Drosophila melanogaster: one gene and its partner. The protein of the gene in region 1 interacts with the protein of each later gene in a pairwise test. Each region holds a gene or a part of one and is shown on either strand. Other genes may lie near its edges.

The links.
Region 2: the proteins of CG5001 (region 1) and dmt interact in a two-hybrid assay, tested with the Drosophila melanogaster proteins (one large-scale study listed by BioGRID).

Annotation. Positions count from the first base shown.
Region 1 is NT_033779.5:1,178,837-1,194,423, forward strand, and holds the start of CG5001 (uncharacterized protein), read left to right. Parts: upstream 1-6,920; 5' UTR 6,921-7,179; intron 7,180-7,417; exon of another isoform or gene 7,418-7,616; intron 7,617-12,566; 5' UTR 12,567-12,698; exon of another isoform or gene 12,699-12,702; intron 12,703-12,762; 5' UTR 12,763-12,847; coding exon 12,848-13,073; intron 13,074-13,133; coding exon 13,134-13,362; intron 13,363-13,419; coding exon 13,420-13,789; intron 13,790-15,587. Other genes in the region: CG4896 (uncharacterized protein), read left to right, coding at 5-233, 291-360, 616-689, 1,024-1,101, 1,161-1,287, 1,377-1,613, 1,677-2,090, 2,159-2,957 and 2 more; CG5126 (uncharacterized protein), read right to left, coding at 3,659-4,635, 4,693-5,083; Tgt (tRNA-guanine transglycosylase), read left to right, coding at 5,330-5,418, 5,487-6,681.
Region 2 is NT_033777.3:9,704,336-9,720,704, forward strand, and holds dmt (dalmatian), read left to right. Parts: upstream 1-6,806; 5' UTR 6,807-6,874; coding exon 6,875-7,355; intron 7,356-7,414; coding exon 7,415-9,246; intron 9,247-9,271; exon of another isoform or gene 9,272-9,430; intron 9,431-9,531; coding exon 9,532-9,792; 3' UTR 9,793-10,340; downstream 10,341-16,369. Other genes in the region: trbd (trabid), read right to left, coding at 2,413-2,491, 2,557-2,705, 2,772-2,983, 3,040-3,284, 3,350-4,076, 4,133-4,340, 4,401-4,989, 5,053-5,180; hyd (hyperplastic discs), read right to left, coding at 10,617-10,829, 10,889-11,119, 11,186-11,333, 11,389-11,595, 11,656-11,981, 12,039-12,115, 12,182-13,138, 13,195-13,941 and 5 more. UniProt on the Drosophila melanogaster protein: Regulator of sister chromatid cohesion in mitosis. Probably involved in development of the central nervous system.

The DNA of each region.
Region 1 (15,587 bases):
TCAGCCGCAGCAATGACCAGCGGCAGTTCAATAATAATGGAAATAGTAACTCCAGCAGCAGTTACAGAGATCGCGAGAAGGAGCGCGATCGAGATAGACGGTGTTCCTCGGACGAGGACAGCGACATGGCCAGCGAATTCAGGCAGAGAGGTGCCTACAACAGTGGCAGCAGCGTTGAGCCCTTGAACAACATAATCCTCTTCGGTCTGAAGAAGCACGTCACGGAAGCAGACGTAATGTTTAAGCGATAAGCAGAACGAATGTAAAATTAACCAAGTAATCCTCCACAGATCATGGGCGAGCTGATCAAGGTCGACCTGGAGCCCACATCCATTCGCGTGATGAGGAAGCAACAAACAGGTGGGTTACATTTCCGTGTGTTACATTCGATTTAAAGTGAAATTGTAGAGAAAGCGTGAGTATTGCGTGCCCAGCAACATGTTCGATGTAGGACTTATAGCAATTTCAATTATACTTGGCTTCGACATCAGCAAAAACATATAGAAAACTACAAACCGAAACAAAAACACAATCCCCAAAAATGACACAATGCTAATGATACAACCAACATTTTTTGACCAAACATTTTCGTATCTACTTCTATCTAAAATTTAGGTGCCTCACGCTGTTTTGCATTTGTCGAGTTTAAAACCGTTGAGGAGGCGACTCGTTGGATGGAGTTAACCCAGGTATCCCTAAAAACCACAAGAATCTTGAATCTTCTCGTATCCGCCAAAATAGAAATGACGGCAAGATCCGATAGCTTGGCATCAACTGTTGAAAAATGTGTGCCTTGAGTTCAATTCTGCTGGTGGGCTGCCTGTCCCTTCCATTTTTCTGTCTTAGATCAGGGAACTGAACTCAAAGGCGGAATCGAATCTTACGTAAAGGAAGCAACCAGCATCTGCGTGATGTCGAAAAACACAGATGCAATCTTGGTGACTGTGTAGTCTGTGAACGATTTGCCTGATCAGCAGTTTCAGTTACTAATTCCAATTTTACCTCTTCTATTTTTCCGTTCAGGGAGTCCTCCAACTGGGCGATCATCGTGTCACCATGCAGTATAGTCACACTCGCATCTCAGACTGGACTTGCATTAAGGTATGCTCCGTTAAGATACAGATTGGCAACAATAATTAGCTTTTTTCGCCATCCTTCAGTGTGGTGCCAGCAACTTTAAGCGCCGCTTCCAATGCTACATGTGCAATGCGTCGCGGGCGGAGAGCGAGAATGCTCTTTACGGAGCCGGCGAGGGCGTCGACGAGATCAGCCAAATCCTCACAAAAAGTATATCCACCATGAGCAATATCTTTCAATGCCGTTTCCTAGCTAATCAGCTAAATACCCCACTAACCTGCCACGCTTTCCCCATGCAGAGATCATGCTTCGCGGCTTGGACGCGCTGACAAACGAGGAGGGCGTGCTAACTGCCCTTCAGCAGCGCCTGCCCGAACTGGCCAAAACAGTCAGCAAGGTGCTGGTCAGTCGCGACGCCCTAACCAATGCATCTCGGGGCATTTGCTACCTCAATTTTGACACACTCATTGATTCTATGAACGTGTTCAACGGGCTGACGGCGTTGGATCCGCCACTCACTCTGGACGACAAAACAGGTAAATTATTACTTCTTAATTATTTCATAATTAAAAAACAAAACTTTAATCCATGCCCTTCAGTTATCGTCACCTACTGCATTGACTCCGAAAACCGTCAAATGATGCCAGCCGAAGGCAACTTTTTTAGAGCAGGTGAAACAGCGATGTCTCCGTCGGCCATTACGGCGGCCTACACTTTGGCGGATGTGCCTCGTCTTGCGGAGTACAGTGCATCCGTGTATGCCTCGAATCCGTTGGAGCATGCTAACTACGTCCAGTACTATACGGATTATTACACGACTGAAATAAGCAAGAACTGCAGAGATCGTCAAGTGACGGAGGCCAACTCCGGCGCTGCCGTTGCTCTCTCGGCCATCCAGCGCAAGCAACGGAAGGTCAGCCAGATGGAGACCACGGTTTCGGTGACAGAGGCGAAGGTCGCCTTCCTTGCCAGGGGTGAAAGTGCTCCCAAGGGGAATGATGGCAAGAAATACGGTAAGTGAGCGCACACTATTCTATCTATGCGCTCCTGTAATGTCGAATATTTCATGCTCAATGGTTAGATACTCCCGATGTGTCCAAGTACCAGTACGACGAGACCTCCGGCTACTACTACGACCACGTTACAGGACTCTACTATGATGCCCACTCGCAGTACTACTACAACAACGAGACGGGCGCGTATTTGTACTGGGATCAGAAGCGGAGCACCTATGTGCTGGCCACACCCGCTTCCACTCAGGCAGCCCTCAAGGAAGTATTAGCCGATGCCGAGAAAAAGGAGGAGGAGGCCAAAAAGGCAAAGGAGAAGGAAAAAGAAAAGGAGGAAGCTGGGGGGAAGCCCGACAAGGTGAAGGTGGCCAAGAAGATCGTCAAGGACATGGAGAAGTGGGCCAAGCAGCTAAACCAAAAAAAGGACTACACAGCAGTGGCAACGCCGCAGCCTATCCTGTCGGATACTGAGGCGGCCACCACCTCCCGTGCTTCCCAAGGGGCATATGCTGATGTGGGATTCTCAATCCTTGAGAAGAAGGAGCTTGGCAAGCTCAACGACTATGTACCGGAGGCAGGACCTCCAGCGATAAGCAAATTGGTTGGTGCTTATGGAGGACCTTCTGACTCGGAAGATGATAATAGTGCCAATCAGAAAGCACTTGAAGCTAGCGTTGGGACTAAACGAGCCATTAGCGATGAATCTGACTACGTGGACTTCCAAAAACTTACTTGCCTGCTCTGCATGCGTGCCTTCCAATCGCTGGACATCTTGCAGAAGCATTTGAAAATGTCGAATCTACACAAGGAGAATCTGGACAAGCTTAAACGGAATCCCGCAGTTGAGGCTGGCACGGATGAGGGTCTATCGTAAGTGGGAATATGCTGCTAGAATGGAGATAAACTCACTAATTTACTTACCCGTACTTAGCTATCGTGATCGTGCCAAGGAACGCAGGCTGAAGTACGGTGAGAGCGATCCTCCTCCACCAAATAGGAGCCGGGAGCGTTTCGAGCAAGAGATAAAGACTTTGCAGTCGCGCCAGAAGGATTCTTTTGGCGCCACTGCAGCCATGCCCATCAGTTCGACCAACGTGGGCAGCCGCCTGATGCAGAAGATGGGCTGGTCGGAGGGCCAGGGACTGGGCAAAAAGAACCAGGGACGCACCGAGATCATAGAGGTAGGAGTCGACGAGGGCGACGAATGGCAAAATATGGATAATTCAATGTCAATGTGTATCCACAGGCTGATGGTCGTTCTAACAACGTGGGGCTGGGCAACAACACTGGCCATATGGCGCCTGGGAACGACTACAAATCCTACATCAAAAAGATGATGAAGCAGCGTTATGAGAACGCCTGAGACTCTTCTTAAAGTGTATGATTTTATTCCGCTTGAATATAGGGGCATTTAAGCATTGTTGTTTACCTCGATTACACTTCCTCCACCTTGTCGCGTTCATTTAGCATTAGTTGCGAAGTTCAAATTGTAAATAGTTCGTAAATACAGTCTCAAATTAGGTTTAAATTTAAATTGTAAATGCTTTAAGTATGGAATTGTGCAAGGGAATCTAAATCTCGTCCATGTAGCCATGCTCATAGGCGTGACGAACGGTCTTGAAGATCTCCTGGTTCGCCTCATCGCCAGCGATGTCCAAGGACAACTGGTGGAAGGCGGGGCCGTGCATATCCGTCTCGAAGAGGCGGGACAACTCGGCGCAATCCTTCTCGGTGCCGAGCAGCCAGGGAAGGAAGTGCATGCATACCATTGGTCCGTAGAAGGCATATCGTTTGAAGTGGGCATTGAAGCGTTCGAAGCTGTATTCCTGTAGCAACTGGTCCACCCGATCGTCGGTCAACTCGTTCCGGTTTCGGCGCAGAACCAGTTCCAACATTTCGATCATGCTTCGATGGTACTTGCGCAACAAGTCGGCGTAGATCTCCTTCCTTCCTTCGGATGGCGTGTTCATGTACATAAAGAAGCTCAGGTCAATGGCCGTAGTGCTGAAGCGCAGCTCCTGGAAATCGATGGCTTTGATAGCGTCCACCTTATCTTCAGCGCCGTAGTGGAACAGCACGTTGTTCCTGTTGTAGTCGCCGTGCAGAAAGGTGGCAAAGTGGCTGTCCGGTTGATCTTCGGCAAAGGAGCTGGTGCGGATTCTCTCCAGCAGGAGAGTTGGCTGCTTGAAGTACTTCTCCCGCAGTCGCTCGATGGCGGCCCCGAATCCGGGGTCTGCCCCCTGGAGGAGCTGCTCCTTTTGCCGGTCGTAGAACTCGTAGAACCGATCGAAAGCCACGCGATAGAGGACATCAAAGATGCCCTTTCCTGAGCTGGACACGAAGGGCATGTCCACCACTCCGGCGCGCAAACGAGCATGAACGTTCGGCTGGAGGATTTTCGTGGCGTAGCCCAGAGCATGGAACGGACCCACTAGTCCTACCATGGCCTCCAGCTGATCCCGTCGAAGGGTTAGCCTTGGCCCCAATTGGTAGCCATCGCCCTTGAGATGCTTTAGGGCCAGCACCGATTCCCTACCATTCCCTAAACCTGCAGAAAAGTAAACATTCGATGTAGTCATGGATAAAGTCTTTGTGGGATGCGCACCTTCAACGTGGCCAAACCTGGCGAAGTAGCAACAGGGAACCCAGTTCTTTACCACTTCGCTTTCCAGGTGACTCGTCCGAAGCACATTCTCATAGGCGGGCAGGATCTCGGCGTAGGCGAAGATCTCGTTGGAAAACTGGATGTACGAGTTGCTGCTCTCCCGGAACTCTTCCGTTCCCTTCATGAATTTGACCAGGACGACCTCCGTCCGCTTGCGCTCGGCGATGACCACGTCCAGCGTAACGGTGTACAAGGCGGACATGAAGCCGTCCAGTCCATTGGAGCACTCAACGCTGTGCGATTCCAGCGAAGCACTCGGACCAAAGTTCTTGAAGATGTCGTACACCAGGTGGCGCTCTATATAGTCTAACTGCTGCTGTTGCGTCGACATCGTGACCTCCACGCAGGAATCAATTGCTATCTGAATGGGTAATCTTAACTGACAATATACGCAAGTAGGTGTATATTTGTCCGGGCAACCAATCAAAGTGGTATCGATAGCCACGCGCAGGATTTTGGTATATTCCCGGTTTCAGCGAAGTGGTCACACAGAATCGCGATTGAAACGTGCACCGCCGGCGTATTGCGCGTAAACATAAGACATTTCACGGGGAATTTTCTGGACTTTGCTAACTCAATGGGTCCCAGCCACATTCCTCCGCTGACCTACAAGGTCGTGGCCGAGTGCTCCGTCTCCAAAGCCCGGGCGGGACTGATGACCCTAAGGTGAGCGTCTGCAATAAGATAGGCCTTGAAAACTGTGACTAAGCCGCATTACCAACTCTCCTAAACAGGCACAGCGAGGTAAACACCCCGGTCTTTATGCCCGTGGGCACTCAGGGAACCTTGAAGGGCATCGTGCCGGACCAGCTCATCGAGCTGAACTGCCAGATTCTGCTGGGGAACACCTATCACCTGGGCCTGAGGCCCGGAATCGAGACACTGAAGAAAGCCGGTGGTCTGCACAAGTTTATGGGCTGGCCCAGGGCCATTCTAACAGATTCCGGTGGCTTTCAGATGGTTTCCCTGCTGCAGCTGGCCGAGATCGATGAGCACGGTGTGAACTTCCGGTCGCCCTTTGACAACAGCCAGTGCATGCTGACGCCGGAGCACTCCATCGAAATCCAGAACGCCATTGGTGGGGATATTATGATGCAGCTGGATGATGTGGTCAAGACCACAACAACTGGCCCCCGGGTGGAGGAGGCCATGGAGCGGACTATTCGCTGGGTGGATCGCTGCATAGAGGCCCATGCCCGCGACGATGACCAGTCGCTGTTCCCCATCGTCCAGGGAGGATTGGATGTGCCGCTGCGTCAGCGTTGCGTTTCCGCTCTCATGGAGCGCCAGGTTCGAGGCTTCGCCGTGGGCGGGCTAAGTGGTGGCGAGAGCAAGCACGACTTCTGGCGTATGGTGGACGTGTGCACTGGCTATCTGCCCAAGGACAAGCCGCGCTACCTGATGGGCGTGGGTTTTGCGGCGGATCTGGTGGTCTGCGTGGCCCTGGGCATCGATATGTTCGACTGTGTCTTCCCCACCCGGACAGCTCGATTTGGTTGCGCCCTGGTGGACAGTGGGCAGCTGAACCTGAAGCAGCCCAAGTACAAACTGGACATGGAGCCCATTGACAAGGACTGCGACTGCAGCACGTGTAGGCGTTACACACGCTCGTACCTGCACCACATCGCCACCAACGAGAGTGTCTCCAGCTCCCTGTTGAGCATACACAACGTGGCCTACCAGCTCAGGCTGATGAGGAGCATGCGGGAGGCCATTCAGCGCGATGAGTTCCCCCAGTTCGTCGCGGACTTTATGGCGAGACACTTCAAGGCGGAACCTGTTCCGGCTTGGATACGAGAAGCTCTGTCTGCCGTAAACATCCAGCTGCCTGCGGATCCGGAGAGGATTGATGAGCAGGACCAGAAGCCAAAGACCGAAAAGAGACGGGAAACAGAGGACGTGGCGGAGGAGCAGGTGGCCTCCAGCTAACATCATCACATAGCAACCTTTGTGTTTTGATAACCCAAAGTTCCGACTAAGAGGCATTTCTTAATTGACACATACGTTCATGTATTTTACATGTCAAATGTCATGTAAGTTATTTTCATAAGAATAAATACTTAATTAGACATAGAATAAAAAAGGAAAAATAAATTACATCATAAAATTCAATCATACTGTGTGGATACAATTTATTTTGCTTATTTTATTTTTTTGCTTAAAGTTAAGGTTAGTAGGTTAGTCTATCATACCCCATAGCAGGGTAGCAGAATACTGGTTTTCATCTCTGCTCTGCCCACGTTTGTTCCGCTCTTGCGTAAAGCTCTCGACTCGTTGTTACCTATGGGAAAAAGCTCCATGTAGCCATAGTATGACGCATAGTGCAAATCGGTGGCGATCGTGGATCTCGCGTGGAACGACCGACCAATTTGTGATATTCTACTTGATTTTCGCCTTTGCCACGGCCTCTTTTCGTCCGTTCTTAGAGTAGGTGTGCGGTATGAATGGAGATGATTGGGAAACCTCTCCACTTGGCTCGGAGCTCTCTTCAGTGCTTGGCGCATATCTGTTTTGGACTGAACTCTCTGGGGGACAAGAGATACCCGCGACTCGAGATCTCTGAGAGCGGGAGCGCGAGATCGGGGCAGTGAAGTGGTGCTGGTGCTGGTGGCGGTGGTGGTGGTGGTGGTGGTGCTGCTGCTGCTGCTGCTGGTTCGGTGGATCGTTCAGTGAGTCCCCAAGCGTTGTCGCGTCCACTTTATCGCTGTTTCTGTCGCGGATTCGAACCACTGACTAACGGTAGTGCTGCACGCATCTGGCGGTAAATTGGCAGCGAGAAGCCCGCGCTAATAATACATTCTGAAAGCCGTCGAAAGGATTGCGAGTCCATATCAAGCATACGCCCGATCAGCCGCCAATCGATTGTAAGGAGCCACCCGAATTTATTGCTTTTCCACTGACAATTAATCACGGACTTGCTGTGCGTGTGTGTGCGTTTGTGTGAGTGCTGGAGTGGCTAGTGTGTGTGTGTGTGTGTGATTTTGTCTCGTTTCGTTTGCCAAATGTGGTAAAAGCGAATAAAATAAAATGAAAAAACATTTCGAAGTCGACAAACAATCGTGCTTTTTATGGCGCTGTCGCCTTTGCTTGTGGCCAGGATTCCGATTGGAGCATTCGCGGGGAGCGGAAAGAACCGAAAAAACCCTTATATAAAGTATACGCCAAGTATACCTGCCAAGTCCAAAAGCGATATTATTTATATTTTTGTATTTGCCATCGTTTTTGGCTTTGGCCTGTGTGTTTTTGAATTTCATGGTTTCATTTCTTTAAATAAGTTTTATTTTTAGCACTTTTAGTTATTTTTGTGTATATGTTTTTTTTTTGTTCTCACCAATTTCGCTGCTGCTGAGTTCAGTTTGCCTGATTATTTTCCGAAATCTTCATGCCGATTCTTTGGAATATTCATATGGGGCTTCCATTCTAAATTCTACAGTGTGCTCACAATGTGTGAAGTGATTTGTGTTTTTGAAATTCGGTTTAGTTAAAGGTGCCCCTAGGGTGGACCACAAATCGGGGAATATATGTATGTGGAGAGATCAGAGGGAATCACTTTCAAAACACAAAATGTAGTACTTAGTGTGTATAGAGTTCAGCCAAACGAACCTTCCAAAATAATCCCATAAATAAACTACTCAAATGAGTATTTCTGCTTTTTTTGATGTCCACTAACTATTGCCTCATTTTTCAAACACTCAAATTCGCTGGCCACAAAATCATAAATAAAAAGTAAACACACAATGGAGCCGATTATGATTGAAGGCACTTGGCGAAAAAGACTGCTGGCCTCCAAACTTAAAGTCCCAGCCAAATACAAATACCAAGGCAAGTGGCCAATACCAAGTGGCAACAAATTACCAGCGAAGAGTGTAAAAATAAAAGGAAAACTCTGATGATTGCCGCTAATCATAATCACACCAGAATCTCTCTGTTCGAACCGCTGGCTTTTTGTTTTTGCCCAGTATTTATAAATTATGACACATTCGCGAGTGGAAGAGAAAAGATATGCGGAGGAGAGTACTTTTCGCATTTCTTCGCGCTGCCACTCTTCGAACAGCTGCTGCGTGGGCGGAAGACTGGCGGGGGCGTGGTCGCAGAATTGTTTTGACGGTCTTCGAGCCGCAGAACACATGCAAAGTTCGTCGTTTTTCGAAAAGAAAAAACGAGAGTGAGAGCTGGCGCCAATTAAGCAAGTAATTATGGCGAAAGACACAAGGAAATAAACTTTCGCGGCTTTGTTTGTGGAAATTGATTAATTTCAATCTCTCAGTCGTCAGCTAAAAAAAGCTCGTCTTAATTATATGAATTAATGAACCCTGTTTATAAGAGCGGAAATTAAAATACAGCTCATCACTCACTTGGGAAGATTCACTCACTTGGCAAGCTAACTGAAATCCAAAAAAGTGTATTAAATTGTAAATTAAATAAATTCAATGTTCCATAAGCCGAATACTCTGCAAATAATTCTACTAAAAGCCTGAGTAAACATCATTGCAACTTATTTTAATCAGAGTGCCCAACAAATCAACAACCATTTTTGCACTAGGAACGCATATTCCAAACAGCTGAAACAAGTTTTTCAATCTTTTGGTGAGGCAGCAATTTGAATTTAAAAATCTTTGCTAATAGTTATTCTATGCAAAATGGTTGTTTGCATAAATAAACGGAAACGGAATGCTTGCCTGCATGTTTTGCCGCCCAGAAATCAATGCTCTTTGCAAATTAGCACGAATTCCGGCGAAAACAGAGGTTCATCTGCAAGATAAACCGCGCCGGAAAAACAGAATCACCTCCAATCCCATGGAAATGGCTGAGTGCTGATTCACTTGTCCAAACGACGAGTAGCATTTCTCCAAAATCGAAAATGTTTGGCTGCGGATTGTGTGGGCGACTTGCTCCGCGTCCAAAGGTAAACTCGCTTAGTCATTGGACCTATTTTTGCAGCGGATTTGCGACTTGGAAACACCCACCCCAGAAATTGGTAGTTACCTTAGACCTTGGGCGGATTTTTGGACATCTAATGCTGCTTGGCCTAAACGATTTGCCTTCGGTCACGGCCGAATGTTCGATTCTTGTCGCAACCATTTTTATTCTGAGTGTGGGTGAACAAACTTCACGGTGTTTGATCGGTTTCTGGTTGGTTTCGAATGGTTTTAGGCCAAAAACATTGCCATTCAGCCAATCGCCATCAGTTGACAATGAATGGCTTTTGTTGGTGACTTTGAAAAATACAAATAAAGGGAAAAAACATGATTCGCATTCGTATCTTTGAGAGCGAGAGTAAAAGGCTGGACTTGAATGAGATTCATGGGATCAAGATTTTTGACAACCTTGAATGCTCAGATTTGTGGAATGTAGCAAAAGATAAATGAACGGAAAGTTACAAATTATTATGAAAAAAAAAGCTGGCAAGTACTTTTTTGAAATATACAAACATATATATATCTATCAGATACAAATTGGTAATGAAGTTTTGCTTAAGTAAGAGATGTAACGAAAGAGCTCTTCTAATCCAAAAAACTGGTGTATATAGTTCAAGTAAACTTTTGCCTATTTATCAATCAATTAGCTCTGGTTCGAATGTTTAAAGTGGCGATCGGGTTTGTTTATCCGAGGAGACAAATGTTGACTGTGGCATTAGTGAGTGATTTTATCTGAGAAACCTCAGGCCCCAGGCAATAAATAAGAGATCCGAATGGCCACACATAAATCACTCCACCAATTTGAAATTCGTTCATTATTAAATTCGGATTCTTTTAATTCCAATTTCCATTTCCATTTCTCAATTTTGGCATGTGGGCATTAGTTGAGGCACCGAACGGGATTGGGAATTAAAGTTGCCGAGTCGCGCACTAATAAATCAAGTTCAATTCAATTAGTGCAATCCGGGGACACAAACAGTTTTCATTTCCTCCAGCCCCAGTTGGCCTCTCATAACCTACGACAATTTATAATGCTGGCAGAAGTGGAAAGAAATGCAAATGCAGATTTGCAAAATGCAATAAACCGGGTGCGGCATGCAACGAAATGACAATGAAACGTTGCAAATGCAATTCACTAATAACGCAGCGTCCAATAAATTGTTAAACAAATGTTGTTCGGCAATCAATAAATGAGCTGCCGCCAGTGTCTGGTGAATAATACATGCGGAAGTGGGTGGCTCCGCCCACCCGAAACATGTTGTAACTGCCATAAAAAGCGGCTTTTTATGGCCGAAGTAATTTCCAATCGGCATGAATTTATTTTGCACCTTAAGCCCGCAATTTTGCACGAAACAATGGCTATAATTCAATAAAGAATCATAAAGAGAATTATTGAAACGCGTGCGAAAATCTCCGCCGTTAAAAAATACATAATTCAATTATCGGAGTATGCAAAACATACATATAAAACGCATAGCATAAACGCGCCTTGCGTAACATCTCTCGCATATCTCATTTTATTTATTTGCTAAAAAGACAGAAAAACTTTCTTTCAATAAACGAAAATGTTGGCAGTGTGTCGGGGGAAAATTCAGAAAAAAATATCAAAAATATCTGCGACCTTGTCCCCTGCTCGCTCAATATGGCACACATTTGGAAGCGATCCGGAATGTATCTCACGATCCGCGATCCGCCGGCAATTTTGTGCACAATGACTGCAATGACTGACTAATTTCTGGACGGGAATGGAATGGATTGGTTTGGAATGGCGCTGATCGCATCAATCGCCCGCTGTCAATATCGCCAATAGCAAATCTTGCGTGCTTCGTTCCCCTCCCCATGAAAATCTCAACTCAAGGCGCACATTTGGCGTCAAAATTGTCAACGCTATGTATCTCGAAATGATATTCCAAGATGAAATCAGTTAAGTCCAAGGCTGGAGAGCGTTTCGAGTACGGATTGCCGGCCGAGTGTTGACATCTTGAATGCTAATGAATTTTCGGGACGCGATCTTGAACTTGAGTGATGACAGGCCTTCTCAGTGCAATTAAGATCTCGGCGATCATCATGTTTATCATGGATCATAGAATGCCGAGATGTTATGATAGCTGTTGATCATAAAAACAAAAGAGATAAACTACTCGTAAATATATGTATTATATACAGACAATTTATAGTCGATGTTTTTTATTTCCATCCTCCTTAAAATCTTATTCCCGCCCAGTTATAACTATAAATGCGGCATGATTGTTGTGGTTGTGTACAGATTCTGTCAGATTCCCAAGATGATTAACTTTTCGCGATGAAAGGTCCAGTGATCTTCAGTAGATTGATTTATTAGGAAACCGCAGTTTCGTAGATCGAAGCAGGAACAGTTTTATGTTACAGCTGTCTCCACGCCCCTGATAGACTTGTCAACTGATCAAGCCATACGAATAGTTCGACGGGCTGTTCCAACCCCAGTGATCTCGGGATGTCATAAATGTCATCGTCAATTCCAATTCAAATGGCTCATGCTAAACTCAATTGGACACCCCAGATCTTCAGATCTCTCGGAGATGTTATCGTCAATGCAAATTGGCTCGCGAGCAATTCTCATCGCTGTAAACAAGCGAAAATATTAATAATATTAAGTAAATGGCTGAGTTAAATTATATTATATATTAAAGTATCCATCAATAAAGAGTGTGTGTATTTGGTAAGGGTGGTGAGAAGTGCGCATAGAAGAGCTTCAATGTTCCGGAAAGTGAATAAATACTTCTAGCTGGCCGGTCTAAAATTAGTGAAAGGCGTGGGCGGTTCAACATTGAAATTTAGTGACGCGTCTTATGATCCGAATGGAACTACCTATACACAGCTAAATGTATATATACACAATTTCTCGACTTTTTGCAGATCTTTTGCGATAGTAGAGCAGTGAAACAGCCAGAGAGAACGACAAGATGCATGTGCCATTATAAGGATAAAGGGAAGGATAGCAACTAAGCAGGTCCTCGTTATATATGGAAACCCAAAACTGATATTATTGTAGGTAACTAGATACGCTGAGAGAAGCGATCCCTTCTAATACCATACCCACTCCAATTGGCAGATACTAGACTACAGTGAACTTGAGAGTCAACTCTTTACCCACATACTTAGAACCCACTCGCCCCCGCCCCCAGAAGTAACCTGCAATGGGTAAGGACTACTACAAAATCCTGGGTCTGCCCAAAACTGCCACCGACGATGAGATCAAAAAGGCCTACAGGAAACTGGCCCTGCGTTATCATCCGGACAAAAACAAAGCCGCCAACGCCGAGGACAAGTTCAAGGAGGTCGCCGAGGCGTACGAGGTTCTTTCGGACAAGAGCAAGCGGGAGGTGTACGACAAATACGGCGAGGATGGTCTCAAGAGCGGAGGTATGCCAACACACCATTAAGTACCATTCCCATAGCTAACCTTGAAATGCTGACTTGCAGGCACACGAAACGGCGGTCCGTCGAGCAACTCGTTTACATATCAGTTCCACGGCGATCCGCGGGCCACCTTCGCCCAGTTCTTTGGCAACAGCAATCCGTTCGCCTCGTTCTTCGACATGGGCGACAACCTGTTCGACAAGAAGGTCTTCGATCTGGACACGGAACCCGATTTCTTCTCCTCGCCCTTTGGCGGCATTGGGTCGCGACATGGTCTGGGAAGTGGCTTCAGGTTGGTCCATCCCCGCGCAGGTTGTACTCCCTGGAATTCCTTGCTCATCTCTCGCAGGCCCTCTTTCAGATCACACTCCTTCAATGTGCACACGCCGTTCAAGAAGGAGCAGAAGCAGGATCCGCCCGTCGAACACGATCTCTATGTGACGCTGGAGGAGATCTACCACGGCTGTGTTAAGAAAATGAAAATCTCCCGGCGCATCGTTCAGGCGGACGGCAGTTCCCGCAAGGAGGAGAAGTTCCTGGCGATATCCATCAAGCCCGGCTGGAAGTCCGGCACCAAGGTCACCTTCCAGAAGGAGGGCGACCAGGCGCCCGGAAAAATTCCCGCCGACATTGTGTTCATCATCCGGGACAAGCCGCACGCCATGTTCAAGCGCGAGGGCAGCGATCTGCGCTACACGGCGAGACTGACGCTCAAGCAGGTGAGTCCTGATCCTGATCCTGATGTATCCAATAGCTTGGGATACTATAGACTATAGTATTAGCCCTTGCTGATTAAGCACCTCTTAACCAACGCACTGTGGTCATGTTCCTCCCAAGATTGGTGCCTCAATTCCACTTCATCTTAAGAGCCCAGTTCTCAGAGCTGGGTTCTCACAGCTTGGCGTCCAATTAGAGGCGCAGCCAGTGCCTAAATCGAATTGTAATGAAATCGGGCAGACGAGATGGTTATGGCCAGATTTACCATATATATACGCGCCGAGCGGCAAAGCAGCCGCCAAATTGGTCGACATGGTCAAGTTTCAATTAACGGAGACGGAGAATGGGTTTTGGCCAGCAGGCTGCTCCGTAGATTGGCTCCCACTGAGGTGTTAGATTTTTACACGGTCGCCGAAGCGCAAAACTTCGCACAGCATTTTTTGTGGGCAGCAGCCCACTTGGGGGTTAAAAATATATGGTCAGATTGAAAATTTTAAAAAGGCTCAAAACTGGCCGAGACTGGCGAACAAGCTGAAATGACACGCCGCTGAGTTGGCAGTCATGTTAAAATTGTTAATTGCATTAAGTAGATTAAATAGTTGAGTTGGCTGCCTCGCAGATTTTTAACATTTTATTGCTTGTTAGTGCGACAAATTTAGTAAATACTTTCGGGCTGCTCGCTCGCTGCCAGCCATTTTTGGCATAGTTGGCCAAATAATTTCCCACTGGCTCTGCTTTGAATTTATGAATTGCATTTTGGCTCTGGTTTTGAGCTAAAAGTGTCATGTTGCTCCCTCTATATAGCAATATTTGACACGGTTATTTGGCGCCGAGTGGACAATGCGAATGGTTTTAATTGAAATATATTTCGGCCTAAAAGCGCATACATACATATGTATGTATGTATGAATAATAAAAATATCTAGATTTACTTGCCAATCTGGTTGATAGAGGCCAATAAATCTGCGCTCCAAGATTCCGCTCGCCCCAATCGAGCAGCCAAAAGGCAATTGGAGCTCCATATATGACCATCCACATAATTGCGAACAGCGTTTTCCATTTTTTTTCTGTCATATTCTGTGCGGCAGTAAATTTAATGCGACTCATAAATTACATCATCGTTTACGATAATATCGAAGTCAATGAGTTTCGAATTAATTTCTTGCTGTACGTTTTTGGTCTTGTATTGTTTTCATTCTGATGATATATAGACTTAGCACGTATCCGTTTTGAATTTTAAATTCTCGCCAGTATGTACGTATGTACTTTCGAAATTTCGAAATCAAATTTAACAATGCTTTTGTTTTCAAGTGCCTGCGTCAGAGTTCCGCAAATGCAGCGAACTAAAACCGATGGACGATTCAAGGACTTCAAGGATGTGCGAGTGTAACCAGCACCATCCTGGTGCTGTGTGTAGTTGATGGCCAGACGTTGTTGTTTTCGATGTCTGCCCACTGGCATTGTCATTCGACTGTTGGCCCAAATGATTTGGAGTCCTTTATTTTTTATCCTTTTTTTTTTTGGTAAAAAATTGGAAGTTCTATAGAAAACCATTTGCTAGTCGAGAACTTCGTTTGCATTTTGATGACAGTTGTCAGCTGCTGGGCAAAAAAAGAGGCGGAATAATAATGCCTTATGACATGCGATTGAATGCTGTTGATTTGTTTTCACCCCCGCCTGAAAATCGGAAAAGTCCCACCTAAACCTTCACTTCTTTCGGCGAGAGTGATTGTCTAGAACAGTTTGGAAAAAAATGGCCAAAAGCGACCATAAACTGCAAGATATATGGGGGAATTTATG
Region 2 (16,369 bases), on another chromosome or scaffold:
GGCAGGCTTACAGGTTTATGTTTGCGGGTTATTCGAGAGCGGCTCTCACGACGGGACGCCCTAACGGTATCGTGTGTAATTGCAGTTGCACAAGCACTTTGAGGTTTATTCGGTCAGCGTTTCAGATCCCTTCAGCGACAATATCACCCCGAATTAGTCCGAAAAGTGTTATGAAGTTAAAAAGTAAAGAAGCGAACACGAAACTTGTTCATACAACAACACTGACGTCATCCCAGCTGAGAAATTAAAATAGGGAGTGGACGTGGACTACAATCATATGCGAGTGGGGCAGTGTTGGTGAGAGCGATCCGACTCTCAGCTGGCCAGTATTGATTGATGATGACCCACCGGCAGTGGTTGAAGAAGGTGCAGGGAAGGGGATGGGGAAGGGGAAGAGGGAACATGCGAGAGACCACCTGAGCTACTATCCCTCTGCCCTCTCGCTATATGAACCACTCCTACGATGCGATAAGGCCGATAATGCCATAATGCTGGTATCGCACCACCCACCACCCCCTTTCGATAACTTTGCGCAGACACACACACACACACACACACCTTAATCGAAGAGAGAGAGACAGTATCTGTGTTTGTCGGCAGATAACTTACCCATGGCGAGATACTATATACTGCTGTGCTCTTCGCTTTTTCGCCTGCAAAACGGGGGAGGGAATCACGCACACTAGAACAGAGAGACACACACGGGGAAAGCACAAATACTCGCGCACAGGTCACCACTACTTCCTCTTCACTTCACTAACAAAATTTTTCTTCTGCTAAGATTTTTTCTATTTGTATCTTTCGCCGTATGCATTCGCAATCTGCGTAGCACGATTGTTAGACTGTAAACATGTGTGAGTCTGGATAGGAGTGTGGTTAATAATGCGTTCGCAGCTCGAATGACGAATGTGCGATTTGCTTTTGGTGTGGTCTCGCACTTTAAATTTGACGACAAAGATCACAGCGGAAAATGGTGGCCTTTTTGAAATGCCTGAATGTCTGATTCTCAAATCGGAGCTGCGACCAGCAAAAAAACACCGCACCGCACCAGCAACGAAACCGACGGCAGCAAAAAGACGACTAAGTATCTGAGAGATACGGCTCGGATGGCAAAAACATCGTGCTTCCAAGAATACACTAAAATTAACCCCAAAGATAAGTTTCGTATGGAAATAGCGGTTGGGTGTTAAACTTGGCTACAATTGGAAAGGTGGGGAGCTCGGCTGTGGAAGAGCATGTATTAGTGATGACACCGTTCGTGCCACTGTACCGTTCCCTATAAATTTGATAATCTATAAAAATAACAAGTAATTCCATAAATGATGCTGCTTATAATTTACTTTGTACTTTATAGAGACAGAAATAATAATGAACTACTTTTTTTTATCTATCTACTAGTAAAGTTAGTTTGGGCAATAAAGTAGGAAAGTCCATACTTTATTAAAATAAATTCAACTATAGTCATTTTGTTTCCGTTTAAATCTTTACTTAAAACTTTTATTTAAATAAGTGATTTTTTTTATGCGTTTTGCGTGTACATTTGCACAATAAGCTTTCTTAGAAGTTAATAATAATAATTGTAATAACATTACTAACAAAAATAATAATGAGATAAAATTCCATTTATAATACAATAAGAATAAAATTCATTATGTTATTGGCCCTTTGTTCAACTGTCTAGAACCATAGGATTTCTATATATGTTATATAATTATAGATATTATATTTATAGGCATGAATGTATAATGATTCATAATAATTCCAAAAAGTGTTTTAAAAACTATCAATAAACATTTCAATGACGCTTTCATTTTCACCCGCTGCATAATTATGTTGTGTGTTCGCCACCCATTTAAAATTTAATAGTACATTGAGATTTGCAATATTTTAAGTCCGGAGCTTGGGTATTCACATTAACTACCGCGTACATAGGTGTACAAATTCCACCGCTTAAATTCGCATCTGCCTTTCGTACACGTAATCATTTAATGGATTGTTTCACATGTGAGTGTAATTAAATCTACCAGTGTATAGCTTCAATTTCGTAGTAAATGTGGTCTATATTGCCTCGACGACCCAGTGTGAATAAATTTGACTAAAATCAACGAACGTTGACTTGGGAACGGATATGATATACATACGTCGATCAATCTATTTTCGTACGTTGCTACTTAACCTTTAGTTTGCTTTCAATTTAGTTACAACTACAACTTTCAACTGCTTGCATATATGCATATGTATTCTCTATAGTTTCCTTTAGCTAGCTGCGAGTGCAAGAGTGTAGGATCTGCACTTGTTATTCCTGTCTCAAAAATCTGCTAACGATCGCCAAAAGTACAAAATAAGGATATTGAATTCTATGCACAGCATCCTAATCAGAAGCTGGGTGACGGATGTGCCGCATCATATCCTCTACTCCTCATCCGAGTCGCCATCACTGGAGTAATGTGTGATTTGAGGGCGACGAATGAAAGGCGCCGTTATCACTTGTCTGAAAGAAAGTTTACAGGTTTAATTAGCATGTCTATGTCCGGAAGGAGAGCAAGTCATATTTACGCAATGCGGCGGTAGTGATTTAGCCACTCTTCCAGCATCTGGGCGACCAGCAAGGGACGCTTGCTTAGCTTTTGTTGCGCCACCAGTAGGCCTCCATCAGTTACGCACACGTCCAGCCATTGACGCATCATTGACTCCTCGTTGCCAACCTGCAGGCAAGGAACGGAAATGTCTAAGCTCACAATGTTCTACAGGATATTTGAATAAGCTCTCACCTCCGACTGTGTAAGGAAATGTATGGGCAAAAGTTTCAGCTCGCAGTCCATTAGCGGGAGATAGGTTACGTCCTCCACATCGTCACGCCGCCCATCGATGCGAGTGAATGGCTCCATCGGCACCAGGGCGCTGAAATGGCCACGTGTGTAGCCCAGTGCTATCGGTGACTTGGTGCAAAAGTTTTGATCCCAGAACAAAGGCAAGTAGACACCTAGAAATAAGGCAATCAAATAAATGCAATACAGCGACGTAAAAATTAATAGCTACCTTCGAAACGCGCGTATCCAATGTCCTCGCCCCGAAAACTCTTGACGTACTTCACGCCGTAAACGATAATCGGCCGACGAAGGATATGCGCCAGCGCAAAGATGTGCAGTTGCTCCAGGGACGAGCCGGGTTGGCCGGCCAATGACAGTAGTGTACTCCAGTCCTCCTCGAACTGAGAGTCCTCCAGCGTAAAGTGGAGCATCGAAGCCTGCAGCATCTCGTACTCTTTCCAGCGAGTAAAGAACCTACAATAAGAGTATCAAGACTATTAATAAGCTGACGGTTGTTAAAACAAATTCGTTTAACTTACACATGCCCGCACTGGTGCAGTGTGTCGGCGAGTGCCCGCCTAAGGATATTGTCACGATCGAAGACGCCCCAGGTGGCCTGCATGGCCGAGTCCAGCAGGCAGTCGCCAGCACTGCGGTTCCACAGTACAAACATCCGTGAGCTCAGGCGAGCAGTGATCTCCAGCGACCAATTCAAGGCCGGCGGCGGCGTCTCCAGCTGTTTCTGCGCGTCGCGGTCGAGCAGCTCATCGTAGAGCTGCTCCTGTATGGGTATCGGCAGCTCCTCAATCTCGGCGGGGAGGGCGAAGGTGGCGTGCTTTTGCACATAGTGGCAGGGTAGACCGGACTTGCGCAAGCGCAGGGTATTGGCAAAGTGGCGCCGGATATCGGCCGCCAAGTCGGGAGCCACGTAGGACGGCACACGCTTGATGCCCGGCCCCGAACCGGAGATCTGGTCCAGCAGCATCGGTAACATCTCCTCGCGATGAAAACGAATGGCCAGGTGGATCAGGGTGTGGCCCACGTCGAAGGCCGAGTTGCGGTTGAGGGCGGCAATCTCGGTGCTGGTCAACGAACGGGCTGGATTGCCACCGCAGGAGAGGTACGCCTCCACAGCGCTGTAGTTGTTCTCCACGACGCCCAGGCACGCATTCAGCCACTGCCAGTCCACCTGTCGTCGGATTTGACGCTGGCGGCGCTCCTGACGCTCTTGCAGCGTATCACAGTTGTTGATGGTTTCCGAAGAACCTGGAAAGTGAATATCAATTAGTCATACCCAGAGAAATCACATTAAAAACTCTTACCCAGTTGGTAAATGTGCTTCTTATTGAACGAGTTATTGACGCTGACGGTATCCACGTTTGGCTGCTGCAGTTGTTGCTGATTCTCCTCCTGACTGTTTAGGCTGGATGAGGCGTGCAAGTCGTTCTGCGACCCACTAATCTCCCGCTCCCTCGTCTTGCCGCACATGGAGCACTTGATGCTCCTCGGCCAGTTTTCGTAAGTGCAAGACTAAGGAAAATTCTAACTTTAAGTACATCTGAGCGAATTGGTTGGGATATGAAAACCTACGTTACACGCCCATTTGGAGACATAGCACTGCTTCTGCTGCTGCGGCGGGACGGCGGCGGAGGATGAGGATTCCCGCTGTTGCTGCGGCTGCAGCTGGAGCTGCATCTGCTGCTGTAGGACAGGCTGCCGGTGCTGGGACTGCGACTGGTTGTGAGACGCATTGGCGAGATTGTTCAGATGGGTCGCATCGTCTATGCCACGACTAAGGCTCAAACGATGGGAGGCCGTGGCGCCGATGAGCTGAACCGGCTTATTGGCCAGGTTCTCCTCCGAGCCGCTGATGCGAAGGGCTTGCAGCGCCTCTCCTGCACGATCCCCGTCCGCCTCGTTATCCATGTCCTTTTTGCCACGCTCTATCGCCTCGCCACCGCGCTTCGTGCAGCACTGAACGCAGCGCAGGCTCCGCGGCCAATTGAGATAGGTGCACACCTTGCAGGGCCACTTTTCGCTGTCCGCCACGTTGCTCTGCCGTGCCTGGCTCTGCGGCTGGAGCGAGTAGCACGTGGACGAAGGTGTGGGCGACATTACGGCTACTTCGACGGCAGCCGCCTCCTCCGCAACGGTGCAGCTCTCCTGGGCTGGACTCAGACTGCAAGAATTAGCAAGTATTAATTAGCAGAAGATTAGGTATAGATCGTCAGAGTTGTCATACCGGAAGATGTCCTCGTTGAGCAGCGGCTTGGACGCCTGGCACATGGTGCATTTCAGCGAGGATGGGTAGTTCTCGTAGGTGCAAGTTTCACATTTCCATTTCTGCGCATCGTCTTTGGTATCGCACATTGTTTATGCGCGGAGCCGGCCAATGCAGTTGATCTGCCAAGGAGAAAGGGATCATACGTTGAATATTTGATATGGGATACACGAGTGTCACCAAGTAAGGGGATCCCATAAAATATGCTTTTACTAGTCAAATCCACCTGGCTGCCTTTTTTACTTCAAAATAGTTTAATTTCTGAACAATTGTAAGCTTAGACAATCATTTTAGTCGAAGTTGGTTGAAGATACGAAGAGTTTGATCAATAATGTATAGCTATGTTGACTTTTGTCGGAAGTTAATGAGATGTTGCATTCAAAAGAAAAAGATTATCTAAAAACTAATATTGGATTTATAAGTACGCAGGGAAATCTACAATTTGGAGGACATTTCAATTTACCTTGACTTATTTTGCAAAGTATAAAGACTATATGCATGACTCGTTTTGGGGGACAACTATCTACCAATGAATGTATCTACTAAGCTACTATTCTTTGGATAAGCGAACCGAAAGGGTATCCCTAAAGTCGGTGAGCGGCGAATCCACCACTTCCGACTCGTTAATAAGGTCAAACAACGGTTAGCGAGGCAGAAGCAGTGTCCTTGACCCTGAGACATAATTCGCAGATACATCCACAGATATGTACATCTGCCTTGGCTCCATTTCCATTTCCCCCACTGGCGTCACAGTCAGCCTTCGGGTTCTCGTTGCCTGGGATTGGATTGGAATGAATTGGATAGGGTCTGGTTTTGGTAGTAGTGGTGGTATAGGTGGTAGTGGTTCAACTGCTGGGTCGGTTGCATTTATTTGTTGCCATTATAATTCGCCTATGTATGTATGGCATGTGTCGCGTGCGATGTACGTACGTATGTATGTACGCTGGTATGCCAGTTTTCGCGCTAGTTTCTTATTGGGATTCGCCCCGTGCCATCCCAACCATCCCACAACCGCCTCCACCCCCCTTCCCACATCGACGTCTTTACACAGTACCTGGCGCAGAAAATCGCAAGGCCTTTTGCAGCAGTCCCAGAAAACGCGAATGCGACTGCGACCACGACAGCGATTGGATTCGATTCGAATCGAGTCGATTTAAATATATAACACAATCACAATAGGGACCGCGAGTATAGCATTAGTATTATAGTAGCTATAAGGTGTAGTTGCTATAGTCGCCGTCGGCCACCCGCGCCCGCAGCAGCGACACTATGTCGACGTCGATCCAATATTGCCAGTAATGAGCGCTGGCAGCAGGCAGGAAAATCACAATTACAAAACAAAGACGATGAGAAAACTTTCACTCGATTTTCAGTTTGGGGGGTTTTCTTTCTTGCTTTCCTTCTCAATTTTCAGCTGTACTTGCTTGGGGCGCGTGAAACGAAACTGCCCGCACACATTCACGGCGACGAACACACGCACGGTGGATCGTAGTGCAAGGAATTTGGAATTTGGATTATTTGGAAACAGCTAATTATTTATTTTTTACATTATTGCGAGGCCAATCATCTGGTTCTCTGTCCGCCTATCGACAACTATCGGTGCTCCGTCCCTGGCGCTCAGTGTTGAAAAGTGTCTCGGTTAGCTGGTTAGTCAAGCTTCACACCTACTGGTGTTCAGTGGTTTTCATGGCAAGTCTTAGAGATCGGGGGATGGTCATACTAGTAAATAAAATGGCGGGAGCTGTACATGAATTTCATTTGGTAAACAAATTATATTCTTAAAATGGTAAGAACACGGCCGGTGCCGTGTGTTCCGTCGCCAGATGTGAACACCGCAACGAGACGCAATCCCGGGCGTCCCAAGAAACAGTCCATCGGAGCTGACTTAAGCACAACGATAAGCAAACCCGGGCGTCCCAAGAAGCTGTCCATCGGAGCTGATTTGACCACAATACGTAAACCCGGGCGTCCCAAGAAACTCGGAGCTGATTTGACCACGATAATACGAAAACCCGGGCGTCCCACGAAACTATCAAACAAACAATCTTTGACAGCCCTAAACGAGCCAGAGTGTCGCATAAGAAAATGCGTGGTAAAAATAAGGCGCATTAAGGTAAAAAACGGTGTCGTATCCGAAATTTCTCGAAATGATGCGCCTGATGTGGATGCCAGCACTTTTGAGCCGGCTCGCAACTCGACGATGTACATTCCTTCGAAGGTACAGAAATCAACGCAACCCCAAAATATCAAGGAAAATGTGGCAGGTAAGAGGCTCTCACCAGGCGGATGATGGACTTTTCTTGATAAGCACAACTACTTGCAGGTCCCGAAACATCGCCATGTCAGCAACGCATAAGGAGTAAAAGCCCTAGTGGACCGGCAGCTGAGATTTCGCCCAAAAAACCACCTCGTTTCTTCCACAGAGATCAGCCTTTAACCAGGACACGATCATCGGTGACCCGCAACGTTTTCGATTTTCTGTCGCAGTCGCAGATCGAAGATGACAGTGACAGGGAGGATCCGGCGGCAGACATAATTCAGCGTTTGGTTAAGGATGGAAAGGCCTGCGTAATGGTGCGGTCAAGAAAAATCGGCAAACCGAGAGCCAAAAGAACAGCAAAGAAGGTCCGACCTGTGGGTAATCGAAGAAAGGTTTCGACAAAAGACAATGAGCCTGAGCCAGTCAAGGTCGTTCCCAAGTCCATAGAACCGCGCCTTCAAAAGCCATCACGCTCCTTATCGACCATTTTCGAGCCCGAGGAAGATTATAGCAACGATTCGGAGCACGGATACGTGCAGCCCATCGAAGTGCCCGTCCAGGTACATGTGGAGCCGAGCACTTCTAAGCAAGCGCACGAAGGAGCCTACAGTAATTTGGCCCGATCCGTAATGCTTAACCAGACCCAGGCGCAAAATCCACTGCCATCTACAGACAGACGTCGAGAACTTATCAACATGGCGCGACAATTGGTTAGCACGCCGCTGAATCGCAGAGCTCCTCCGGTGACAGATGTTAGTGCCACCACCACTGCATTGTCGCCTATTGCCCACCAGTCTCCAAATGCAGTTAGGACCGCGGGAGGCAAATCCCCCTGGCGCGTTTCCGACGATTCACCATTGCCCAATACTTTCATGTTTGGTTTCAACAACTCCCAGATGCCATCGTACTCCAGTGATCATGTGCAACGTCGGCATGTCTATGTGCCAGATTCGCCGGTAGAGCATGCTGAGAACATCCCTCACGAGGAATCCATTTGTCCGCCTTTGCACGAGCAAAATCATGACTCAAATGCGAACGACTCGAATGAGGAGAACCGTCCCCCTCCCACAATTAGCAAATCGATGTCGATCAATGACCAGGAAAGCGAAGAGAATGCGGAGAACTTTGTGCACCTGCCGAATCCTCGGAGAACGCTGCAGAAACGAACGCCCTTTAAGGATATTAACATACTAGAAGTAGTGACACTGCCGTCTTGGAAGAAGAACGTGACGGCCACTGTTTCAAAAGAAATCACTCCTACCAGAGTGGCACCTCGTCCAATGGCGACGTCATCCCCAGCGCAACGCAGTCAAACGCGGTCGAATCTTTTTGGTTTCGATGATGATTTTGCATGTGAAGATATACCTAGAAAGTCAACTACTCCCTCAAAAGGTATCGCTCCTACCAGTATGTCCTTAAACAGAGAAGTGACTCCTGCTTTAGCTAATCGTAATCAAACGGAAGTAAATACTTTCGGATGCAACGAAATATTGCCCTGTGAAAATATACCAAAAGAAAAGGAAACGAATACGGAAGAACGAACATCATCTTCACAAAACCTCTTTGGATTCGATGAATTTATCACCGAAAGCCAAGATTCGCCAGCCAATTTCACGGGGCTGAGTCAAAATGTAAATCTGCATGATAAGCTCCATCGTCTTGCGGAGCTGCGACCCAGAGATGGTGAGCTTCCACAAGTATCATATACCTCTATTCGTTCCGATTGCCTGGGCGAATCACATTCGAAGCAAACCGACATCAGATATATGTTGTGCTCCACTATGATTGCGCCGCCCCGACCGGCGAAACGGAAACCTGCTGCACCCACTGCTAGGGAATCGATGGGATTGTTTAGGGTTGACCAGGACGAGCCGGAGCAATCATTTGCCGATAAGGTAGGATTTATGTAATGGGTTCGTCCAAGCGTTGGGAAAGCGTCGACACTGTAAACAGTGAGTGTAGACACTGACCTCATAACGCTAGATTAACTTAAAACTGAGACGTTAACGTTTTAGTTGAGCAAACAGGGCCGCAAAGATTTAAGTCTTTCTTTGATCGGTAGTAAGCCGCTCACACAAATAAAAATTTTAGTCGTAAGTCTGTAGTTTTGTATACAACATTTGAAATCTTTTATTTTGGCAAACGGCGCCTAATTGTTTTAAAAATTCAACCTGTTCTAGCAACCCAGACGAACCTATGTGAAGGAGCGTCCGCAACGTAAGCGAAAGAAGCGAGTGCAGATATTGTACATCGAAAGTGAAAGTGAGGACGAGGACGAGCAGGACTCGCACGACAAGAGCTTGGATTCTCCGGAGAAGAAGCGGCATCACGTTAAACGGCCACGCAGAGACATCGAGCATGAGGCTAAATTGGAGCAGTTCGTCACCAGTTTCAACAAGCAATGCGAGGAAGTGGAGAAGTTCCCAGTGATCATTGAATAATCGCATTGCCTGTTTATTATTTATATTTTTTTGTGTCGCTGATAAGGGGAAGTAGTCGTTTTTAATTTAATGTGCTTCGTTTTTATGAGTTATTTGTGGTACCTTATTGTTTTGTGTATAAATGTATTTAGGAAGATTGCGTTTCCTCGAATATTTATAAGGACAACAGTCTAATGTAACTAACCAAGTGCTTGCAGTGCACTTTATGCAATTCTAGGTTAAGCTAAGCATGTATTTTTATTATCAAAAGCTTGGATTATGTACAGCTTTGATGTTTCGGTATTATAGCCTATCATTATGACTAAACTAAATAAATGAAAAATCTTAATCTTTGTGAATTGAACTATTTGTTAGTCCAAGGGAAAATTTTTCCAAATGAAATAGAAGTCAATTTTATATCATACATAATTTCCATAAGGTGGACTTATTTTTATTGGTTTTTTCTTCAAATTTCTATTGAATCGATATCGATAAATATACATGTGCATAAGTCATACTTTAGAAAACATATTTTATTTAAAAGTTTAATAATTAAAACATAGGCTTCCTATTACCTAATTGGCCGTTTTATTGGTTACAATGGATGTTGGGGAGTTTCATATTTTTACTACACGTTGGGTCAAGCAAGACCGTCATGACCCGAGCCAATCTTGTTCAATAATGTTACGTACAAATTGTTCAAATTCGAATAAATTTTAAACAATATATAATCCGAAATGGGAATGGTATGGTTAAATATGACGAAAGTCGAAACTCAAAAAAAAACTAAAGTTAATTAAGAAATGAATTTGAAGCTTATACAGATGGGAAAGACTTCCAATCGCTTATACAAATCCAAAATTTTTGGATTTAATGGCCATCAGCATTTTACTGCGTAAAATAGATTTGCTGGAGTAAAGAGGGATATACAGCCGAGAGATACAAGTATTCGCAGTCGGTAGATGGGAGTCATCCGCAGGTCTTATGGTGACAGATGGCAATGGTTGGAATCCCTCCTCCGAAGCTGGAAGCGCAGGAGAGCCGGTCCAGAAGTAAACCTGCAAGAATTGTGTTTGTTATGAATGTTTGAAGCTCATTGGACCATCTTTCTTCTTACCAAATCCTGGCGTTCCATAATGTTCATTTTCTCCACAATACTCCAAAACCATTTCTTAAATTTTAAAAGTTTATCAGGACCCTCGCTAGATTCGTCGTTAAAGGTAGTGTATGAAATTAGTGTCGAAACATTTATATCACCAACACCGTTTAGCAGCAGACGCAAGTCCTCAGCGGTTAAGTTAATCATGCTGTTATCGGGCAAAACGTCAAAAACTCCGTCCTTCAGTGCCTGTGAATGGTAGACAATATTTTGTTGTAATAAGGCTATACATTTTTACGCAATATTTGCCCATACCTCCAGTGCCTTTTCTTGGGATTTGATTAGTCTATATTCTGTATAGCGTCTGACGTACTCGAATATATTACTCGATGTGACAGCGACATCGCGCCCTCCTGGGATAAGCTCTCTGTTACCACAGCCCTCCTCCTTCATCAAATCGATACTGAAATGGCAGGTTATTTAGAGCCTAAACTATCAAGTAAGGTGGGATTACTTACACAAAGCATAGCTCCATACGATTTATAGTTTCCTCGCCTTCCTTTGTTTGGGCATTTTGAATAATTTGTCTAAAAGATTCGTACAATGCTGGATCGAAAAATGCCAAGTCGTGGAACTTAATTTTACGCCCAAGAATGTATTTTAGTACATGTCTTTGTAGGAACAGTGGAAGCAATTCGTTTTGCAGTAGACAAAGTCCAATAAGTCTGAGAAAAGAGATAGGCGGCGTTAAAGCAGTGAATCGAATAAGGGAGCACTTAGCTTACCTTCCAATATTTCTAAATGCATTAATGCGCTCGAATGATGCAAAGCCTTGGCGTGGTGTGTAAAAGCCCCGCTTTCCCGGTGAGTAAAATAATGGTTCATTATCATCATCAACGGGATCCACTACCACGACAGATGGTGATTTTTTTGGTTGACTACTTTGTGCACTGGTCTCAGATTTTTGTTTAAACGTGATTATTTCTATCGCTTCATTCACTTTCTGACGGAGCGTCTCATCTGAGGAAATTACGGACAGGAGCTGCGGAGTGGGTATCTCCAGCAGCATTCCTGTTATCTTCGGTGCATGCGTTTGGTTTATCGAATGGATCTGTTGATCAAGTCGGACTGTTAATATTATGAACTTCAATTGGATTAATTCGCTTACCTTCGGGTAAAGACGTTCCCCAATTTGTTGTAGGTGAACGGACAAGTGATCATTCAGGCTTTCCGGCGTAGCATTATCTAAATTTGCAGTTCCAATAAGTGGGTCAATATAATACATAGAACAAGATTGATTTTATAGATTACCTGAGCTATTTGGTGGAGTATACGGTCTGGCATCCAAATTCAATGCCTTCCTCTCACGGGCCGAACGCCACAATATTTTGCTGTTGGAACCACGCCTCTGCAGAGTGGACTGATCGCGACTAGACCCCGATACTGTTCTGCTGCGCAGGATGCTCGAGAACGGCACTACGTACTTGCTATGATTGGTGCCCACCTGTACGGACTCCAAGTTGGGGATCTTAGCACTGGCCAGCAATGCTTCTGCGATCGATGTGTAAAAACTGCGCGCTACACCCGATCCCTCGCCCGGCTCGTCTTTGAATGTCACCTTTACTCTGTTGAATGTGATGGGCGGCTGGATGCGCCGACTTTGGTTGCCAAACTGGGTATTCAGTTCCTTGAACGTTTGAACAATTAAGCTTTCACGATTGCGCTCCAACTTGCAAAGCACCAAATCACGTTGTTGTCCGTTGCGCAATTTTTCCATGTGGCGACGGAAACGCATCTCCTTCACGGGAAAGCCTCGCAGTTCCGGCAGCACAGAGCCGTGTTCCATTCCGACGTCGTCCATAAAAACGCGACCGAATAAGTCCAGAGTTAGCTTCCAGCGGCTAAGTAAAAAGTTCCACGACGGCAATTCCGAAAAATTACTTTGGTAAAACTGAGAACCACGAGCAGGAAATAATAACAGGTGGTCTGATGTTGACTTTTGATATTGTGTATCACATTTGGCTTGTTCTGCGGTCGATAGATTTGAAGCCGAGTAGTTGTTTATGTCGGAATCAATTGTCTTTAAACAGGAACCACCTGCGAGAACTATGACGCTGCGAGCGGCAGTCGCTGGCGACACTGAGGCTTTATTTGGCGCTATGATAACCTCTGGTCGTGTGGCCATTAATGCTTCAGTCGATTTACTTGTACTTGGAAGACTGTCATCAGTTTCCATTAATACGACTTTTTCGTACTTGCTTTGATTGCCTGTGGATTGAAAATTTAATGTTTGTAAATTGTTTACCGCATACACTCTTACTCACCGTCAGCCTCTTTGTGGGATTTGAAATCATCCGAGCCCTGTTTCTTCTTTAATTGTACGTAAATATTAGAGTCTGTTGAGCCCTCAGCCTTATTAGTTACATTTCCATCACCCGTCTTACTAGAATCGATCGGGACTGTTTCGTAAACACGCTCGTTCCTTTTCAAGGAATTCGAGAATCCCAGTCTAGTTGGAGTATAATCAAAAATGCTGCCACCATCACCATCATTAGTGGCACCGCTGTTGTTGGCATTCGTGGTCACGAGAAGCGGTAGGTTTGCGAAGAGTTCCTGACGCTTAGAATTTGGTTGTAGCAAGTGCGGCTTATCGGCGAGAGGCATGGCCATATCCAGTGGCAATTCAAAGCCTTCTGGCGCTGAGCAGCCCAAGCTTAATGTCGATTCAGATCGAGCAAAGAATGCATGGCGGCGTGTGCCCTGGCTTCCTGAAGGCATGCTGCTAGCGGACATCTGAACATCGGCGTTAAACTCCTCTAGATTAGCCAACTCGTCGTCCGTATCATAGCTCTCAGTCATAGGTGACAAATTGTTTATACGGCCAGAAATGGTATCTTGCTTATCATAGAAGCCTGAATCATTGCGCATATAGTAGACAAAGGCATCGAGTACATAGGCAATGTGCCGCAAGGCTGTTATATCCAACACTGGCAAGGCGTCTCGGTGCTCAGAGGTGTGTGAGCGCATCAGGGATAAACAGTAGGTGAAGAAGTCGCGGCGTGAATTGGATCCTTTGGATACGAAACTTAGTAATAATCGTAAAGCAAGTACATGGTCTTACTTACCCATAATATTTACACCATTAACTGACGACGATGTGGCAGGAGCCGGAGTCTGGCTACTCGAAGCCTGGGCACTTAGGTTGAGCGGATGCAGCGGATGGTTGGGATCCGTGTAGTTGGTCAAATAAGCTCCGAACTTTAGCTGTGCTTCGGTACCGTCCATTACCGTAAACATCCAATCCCACGTAGCCTTTAAACGCTTTTCCACAAATGCCTGTAAAATTTAAATTTAAATTGCAATTATATTCAGTAGTACGCAGAGCGAAATTAATTCATTTCGGAATTATTTTATTCGGTACTTACTTGGACTGCGATTGCTTCATCATTTTGAATTTTTAATGATGTTTCGATGTCATTTAGTACGTTATAGGATAAAATGCTTATAAGCTCGGATATTTGCCTTATTGTGATTCCGAAAGCCCGTGCCAAGTTGCTGGCCGTTGTCGCCATGGTGTGTGGTTCAATCGATGGGGTAGTGACTGTAGTGCTGGCGGGTACAGTGGAGCGGCGCAGAGCCATGGGGTCAATAAAAACCATATTAGACCCGGTGGGCACCCTCACGGAGGAGCGCGCAGTGTCACGACTGCGTATGGCCCATTGCATCGTTTGAGGAGCCAGATCGCTGCGAGCGTTCGAGTTGGTAGAGCGGCGTTCAAGTTGCTGCTCATTGAAATTGAACTCGTCGGACTGATCGTCGGACTCGCCATCCTCCGATCCATCTTCTTCTTGGGCAGAGGAGTCTCCCGATTCATCCTCTAGGAAGAGAACACCAATGTCTAAAAGAAAACATATTCAATGAAGTAAATAGAAAATTAAGTCAAATTCAAGAAACTAACCATTTTCTGAGCCAACGGTTGCTCCTGCTTGCACGCTCCTCTGCACCTCTTGATTGCTTTGGTTGTCATCGGAGTCGGACTCAGTCTCGGCGTCATTGAAAGTAAAGTCATTATCGCTCTCGTCATCTTGCATGCCGTCCTCATTTCGTTGATTTTCAATTAGCTCATCGTCTTGATTGTGGGAATTAGCCTCCCGGTTTATAACTTCTTCCGATTCGGAGGCGTCGCGTATAGCTGGATTTCAATGTACATTTCATAAGGGTTTGTACAATTTCATATAGCTATTTTCTAAAACTATAAGAAAACTACTCACTTTCCATAGCAACTACATCGTAGTTTTGTTGAATATTAAAATTGGCGCTCTGATCGTTTCCAGCATCGTGGACAAGTATTTGCTCAGAAGGAGACTCCACGTTAGAGGGGGCTAAAGGATCAACGCTGAACAAATCGTCAGAGTTCTAAAAGAATATGATAATTGTCATTAAACTAGTTAAATTAGTATGGATTGGTCGCAAATCTATAATCTTATAGAAAGGCTGGTCATATTTACACGTACATCCAGATTCGACGATGACATCGTAAACGGAGCTGTTGGACGCACAACGCCCAGTCGGACTGGAGCGATCAGAGCCTCGGATACCTCACATAACTCCTCGATGGATATCTTGTGCAGCGTTTGGAATACTTTAACACAGCTCTGCACGTATTTGTTGCAGGATGAGTGCGACTTTCGCTTCTCCGGATTAGGCTGCTTTTCCAGGTTGAAAATGACAAAAACGCGTGCTACGGAACGCACGAAGCGACGCACTACTTCCTCAGCTTCCTTGCTACGATTGGACACGCTTGCGTTCTGCAATTCGCGCACCAGGGTGAGTAGCAAAGTGTCCAAATGATCGCTAGTGCACTTTACGATCAAACTGTGGGTAAACTTGTCGAGAAGCGTAGAGCCATGCTGCGTCTGGATAAACATATTAAAGCCTTCCGAATTAGAGTTCTCCGATGCACTGCCTGCTGGATTCGGTACATCGCCTCTCTCCGCACCGCTCATGATCATTGAGCGCACGGCGTTCCAGTCGATCAGTAGTCTCTCCAAAGCCTTTCTGGCGAACTTCGGTGGCTCCAGATCATGGTCCGGCATATCATTATCAATTTCGGCTGCGGAGGTCTTCCGATTTGATATCACTGAATTGTTTCCGGTCGCTCCGGTGGCAGCGGTGCTAACATTGCGAACCCTTACACTAAAGCGGTACTGTCGCTGCTCTACAATCTGGCGTCCAACCGTTTGAATAAGGAAAAGAAGAATCGATTCACCCTTGGAGTTAAATTTGGTGACCAAATCTGTGCAGGATACTAGTTTGCACAGCAGTGCGAAGCGCTTTGTGAGATTTCCAGCGATCAGAGCCTTACACTTGCATTTCTCCCAACAATCACAGTAAGCAGTCGGCGCCGTACGCTTCAACTTGCAGTCGTGTCCTTTGTGGCAGACTCTCGCGCATTCCGTGCAGCAGCACAGGGATCCAGTGAGGCCGCATGTCTTGCAC